Oryza sativa Japonica Group: one gene and its partner. Each later gene encodes a partner of the first gene's protein in a complex. Links are inferred from orthologs where the notes say so. Each region holds a gene or a part of one and is shown on either strand. Other genes may lie near its edges.

Region 1 (2,418 bases):
TTAGATGAAAAGGAATTTTTCTATCTAATAGAACAATGGAACTCTCGCGCGGTTGTGGTTGTACCTGTACTGCAGGAATAGGAAAACTCGCTATTCACTCAGTTTTTTTTCCATAATAAGATTATGGAGGAGAGATGGCCGAGCGGTTCAAGGCGTAGCATTGGAACTGCTATGTAGACTTTTGTTTACCGAGGGTTCGAATCCCTCTCTTTCCGTTTTTCTTAATTCAGCAACGTTAATGATTACAATGTATCAAATCAAATGACAATTTATTCCAGCAATAATACAATACCTTTATTTAATAGAAATTCTCTATACCAAATTACTATGGTATGTAAAATACACATAGAGGAAAGAACAAAAAACAAAAAGGAATCCTAGGGTTAATCCATTTCTGTTAGGTGAATGGGAAAATACGAATTAAGAGCCTTAGGTCGATTTAGTTCGGGGAAAGGGGAAGGGAAGAAAAATTCTATGAACCTTTCCGTTTTTCCTTAAGTTCAAGTTTGACGAGAGTAATATTCTACAACTAACAACTCATTTATTTTGAGACCGACCCACTTCCTATCCAGGATTTTTTTTACTAGTCCTTTATATTGCAATGTGTCAATCGTCAAATGCTTTGGCAATTTCCCCGGGTCGGATGAAGCAATAGAATTTTGAACCAGACGTTTTGATCTTTGGTTATCCTTCGTAGTAATAATATCTCGGGGTTTGCAACGAAAACTTGGTATATCGACTATACGACCATTAACTAAAATATGTCTATGGTTAACTAATTGCCGGGCCTCGGGAATGGTTGAAGCCATACCTAATCGAAAAAGGATATTATCCAAACGCATTTCAAGTAATTGTAGTAAAACCTGACCTGTTGAACTTTTTGCTTTTCCAGCGATATGTACATATCTAAGTAATTGTCGTTCTGTCAGACCATAATGAAAACGCAATTTCTGTTTTTCTTGAAGACGAATACGATATTGTTCTTTTTTCCCAGAATGGAATTTCTTTTTCAGATTACTTCCGGATTTAGGTGTTTTTCTAGTGAGTCCTGGTAAAGCTCCCAGACGGCGTATTTTTTTAAAACGAGGTCCTCGATAACGGGACATGAAGACTCCTTTTTTTATTGAAATTTCATTTTACACAATTAATTTCATTGTATTTACATTACAGAATACATCGAAATTAAAACTGAATTAAAGTAAAGGATAAACAGAGTAAAATCTACTAAAAGTACCACAAAAAAATGGAATTTCATCAACATCTGAATTTTTGTATATATATTATTTATTTTATTGTTTTGTATCTAGCAAAATTGTAGGGTAGACCGACATAATAGATCCTGGCTTCTCCATTTAATTCGGAGAAAAAGAGGTATTTTTGTTCATGGAACATTGATAGAGAAAAAAGCCGACTATCGGATTTGAACCGATGACCCTCGCATTACAAATGCGATGCTCTAACCTCTGAGCTAAGTGGGCTTACATAACAGAAATAGTGTAACAAATAGAAATATGTATAGTATAGGAAATCCGTAAAATGTCAGATCTTAATTATTAATCTTAGCTATTAACTAGTTCGAAATTGGAAGTTCTACTTAGAAAAAAATACTAGAACTTCATAAAATAAAGTTAGATAGATTTTTTTGAACTTTCTTTTTTCTCTAATTCGCAAATCTATTTTTCTAATAGAATCTATTCCAATTTCTATATTGAATTTGATTTTAGATATTTTTAATTTGATATGGCTCGGACGAATAATCTAATACATGGAAAAGAATAAATAATATATATTATATACGAAAACATAATAAAGAGAACATGCGAATTTCTTGTATTTTCAGTCCATCATTATAGACATTTTTTGAGATTATTTTGTTTTTTTTTGTTATTTGCTAATAATTTAATGATTAATATTTCACTAAGGAGAACATAGAATCATAGCAAATGAAATTGCTAATTCTGATTAGCAAAAAAAAAGAATGAATATCAAGCGTTATAGTATGATTTTGAATACTCTAAAAAAGGAACGCGGTAGGTGGGGGAGAGAAAAACCTTGGGATATATTGATTCGCATTGAATTGCAAATACATCAACGATAGAATCAATTCAATGCTGAATTGCAATAAGCGGAGTCTCTCAACTAGAGACGAACCGCTAGACTACATAGAGTAATGAATTCAACGATTCAAAAAAAACTAACAGATGGAGGAAATTGCACAAGGAATCCTGGTCTCAAAGAAAAAGAAAATGGGGATATGGCGAAATCGGTAGACGCTACGGACTTGATTGTATTGAGCCTTGGTATGGAAACCTGCTAAGTGGCAACTTCCAAATTCAGAGAAACCCTGGAATTAAAAAAGGGGCAATCCTGAGCCAAATCCATGTTTTGAGAAAACAAGCGGTTCTCGAACTAGAACCC
Region 2 (2,935 bases), on another chromosome or scaffold:
ATGTTAGGACTGTGGGAAAATGTTTGGTTTGTTACTTCACCAAATTTTTGAACAGATGGCGGGTTTGTTTCGTACGTTACCAAATTTTGGTAAGGTAGGGATACTCGAACATATTTGGTTCGTTATCTTACCAAAATTTGTGATGGCTTGAAATGGTAGCAAACAAAACATGCTTCAGGGTTTAGGGTTCTTAAAGCCATTGCGTAGCAGGGTTTACACTTCCAGTTTGGGCCAAAATTGTAGTATATTTCGGGCGAGATAGTTGCTTACCCTTGTGGGCGGGGGGAGCAGCTCACAACAAACTTGCAGACGAAACAACAAAAAATGACAGAATTTTAACATACAATTACCACCAAGCTGACCAGTTGAACTGGTTTGTTGTCCAGCTTTAAAGGAATATGTTTTGCAGATCATCAAAACAATTTCTTGTGTCAAAACTCAAGCGCATAACAGAGTCAACAGACAAAACAACAAAAAAGGGGCAGATTTCTGACCCGATCTGATGGACTGGTTTATTAGTTGATTCTTAAGAACTGCTTCCCAGATCATCACAACAAATTCGAAGCATGTCAAAAGGTGCTTGAATTCAGGGACACAGCTAGAAAAGAAAAAAAAAAGAGATACTGCATCTTCCCTGGTTTCTAGCAAGAACATGAAAGTTTGGTGATTGTATCTGTACTTATGTTCTGCTTCAGCTGGTAATGCATAAAAAATGACTCTAAGCAGCACCATTCATATATATTACAAGGAAAGAAATCATAGGCATCTACATTATGTAGAATGAGACCATGTAATGTACTGTAATTAATTTCAAGAAACAGTGTTTGGTACAGACTAGACAAAAGGTAAGCTCAAGGTAAACCATAATTCAAGGGGGGAAATTCAGACAACCTATTCCAGGATGTCATCGTCGATGTCGATCGGGGTGACCTCGCCGTCGTCGAACTGGTCCTTCCTCGGAGGCGCAGGCGGCGCGAACAGCCGTGCAGGGCCAGTTCCCTTCTTCTTGTTGCGCGGCCTCGCCTGAGATGAGCAAACAGCAGTCAGCAGATGGCAAGTCTGAAGAATTGCAGCAAACAGCAGCACAGGAAGCAATAAGCATATGATTTTTTTATTAATTTTATTTTTGTGCTAGAGACTCACATTTCCGTACGAGTGGTTGAACCTTTTTCCCCTCTTGGTCTTCTTGTCCCCTCTCCCGCAGTAAACTGGTCACACCAAATGGAGTAATTTGAGTTGGAATCGTAATTGGTTCAAACTGCGAGGTTTTTGTTTCAATCTATGTTTTGGTGCTGTATCAATTGAATTCGTGCAATACGATTTGAAAAGCAGTTTCATATAAGATCATCGAGCCAATTTCACACCAGACTAATCCGAATTGACGAACAAAACAGAGACAGGGAGGTTAGGTAGGCATGTCAGTTACCTTCAAGAACTGGAGTGAGCGGGGCCGAGAGGGTGGCGGCGGCGGCGGCGGCGACGCGAGAGCGGGAGCGGGAGAATGCGGCGGCGGCGGGGAGCGCGCAGTAGGAGGAGACGGCGGCGTGGTGGTGGGAGGAGGGGAAGGTGGCCGGGGACGCGGCCATGGCGTGGACGGCGAGGAGCGCCATGGAAGCGAGAGAGGAGTGAGAGCTTGAGGAATGGATGGAATCGGATAAGCTGTGCGTGCATCGGAGTAGATAAAACGGAGGGAAAGGGAAGCCCAGGCCCATGGATTGGGCTTTGTCTCTTGGGCCTATGGACCAAGCCCATGATTGGCTTGGCCCTCTGCAATTCTGATGTTTCTCTTTCTTTTTTTTTTGTCCTCTCATTTCTTTTTCTATAGATAATCATTTTTTTATGATTAAATTATTACTACTAGTATAAAACTTATGAAGAATATAGCAAAGTTATGATATTTTTAGGACTTCTGAAGACAAATCTAGCCATAACGTTTTTAAGATTTTAGAAATCGAAACGTTCAAAATGATATTGATGGTTAAAGCTCAAACACTGTTATGAATATTAGTGGAAGAGATGAAAAACCAGTGTTTTTAAGTGTCTTTGGTTCTGGGAATGTGACTATAGCGTTTGTTGAGTATACAAAGTACAAACAAATAGTTTTCCATGATGGCACCTGGGCAATTAATTAACCCAAAAAACTAGTTTACATATTACTAGTTTCAAACATTAAAAGCTCATATTAGTACCATGACACTTTCTGCTACAATTACTGACTAATAACACAAGTTCATGGCACTTTGTAGACAGGCAAGGAGAGTGTGCATAAGCAGGGCTTTACATAACTTCATACAGTATATATGGATTATGGAGCTACAGATGCAATCCAAACACAACAAAAAGGCACCATTAAGCATTATGAGTATCTGATTGGCACAAAAACTTTTCAGCGACAGAATTTTCAAGAGACTGATAGCTGCTATGTATATGTTCTTTATTTTCCTTGGAACTCATACTGTTCTTCTTACTTCCTTGAGCTCACTGCATAATCACGGGGACCAACTTGCCTCAGTAACTGCATCAGCAGAAGGAACAGGAGATAACCAAGTTGTTTAGCCATGTAGCAATGCTGAAAATAAGGTAAACAGAAAGAGAGAGAGACAAGGATGTAGTACAACATACCTGAAAATATGATTCCAGCTTCTGCTTCAGAGTGGCATGCTCCCTCTTCATCTTCTGAAGAGACCTGCGGCATCTGAAAGAGAACATGGCCTCATCACATCATGTGAGGAAATTGCATGATGATTGGATAGTATGTGAAGAACAAGTTGGACGAGTCAATGAAATGCATACCCTTCCAGATTCCTGTCATTGCAGTTTACTTTGAACACAGAGCACTCATTCTTCATCCTCAGTGCACCAATGCTGCGCCAAACACAGGCCAACTTTAGCGAATTTTGAACACATAAAGCAGGCAAAGATGACAAGCTTTCGG

Evidence for each region. Proteins that work in one complex are often made in the same cells at the same time.
Region 2: rps4 (region 1) and 30S ribosomal protein S31, chloroplastic share a complex: the UniProt entries of both Arabidopsis thaliana proteins name them as parts of the 30S ribosomal subunit. The link is inferred for Oryza sativa Japonica Group from reciprocal best matches to the Arabidopsis thaliana genes rps4 and PSRP4.

What each region holds. Positions count from the first base shown.
Region 1 is NC_001320.1:44,310-46,727, forward strand, and holds rps4 (ribosomal protein S4), read right to left. Parts: upstream 1,107-2,418; coding exon 501-1,106; downstream 1-500. UniProt on the Arabidopsis thaliana protein: One of the primary rRNA binding proteins, it binds directly to 16S rRNA where it nucleates assembly of the body of the 30S subunit. With S5 and S12 plays an important role in translational accuracy.
Region 2 is NC_089039.1:5,295,874-5,298,808, forward strand, and holds 30S ribosomal protein S31, chloroplastic, read right to left. Parts: upstream 1,657-2,935; 5' UTR 1,611-1,656; coding exon 1,427-1,610; intron 1,209-1,426; coding exon 1,144-1,208; intron 1,060-1,143; coding exon 892-1,059; 3' UTR 501-891; downstream 1-500. Other genes in the region: pseudo histidine-containing phosphotransfer protein 2, read right to left, coding at 2,465-2,515, 2,623-2,695, 2,794-2,865.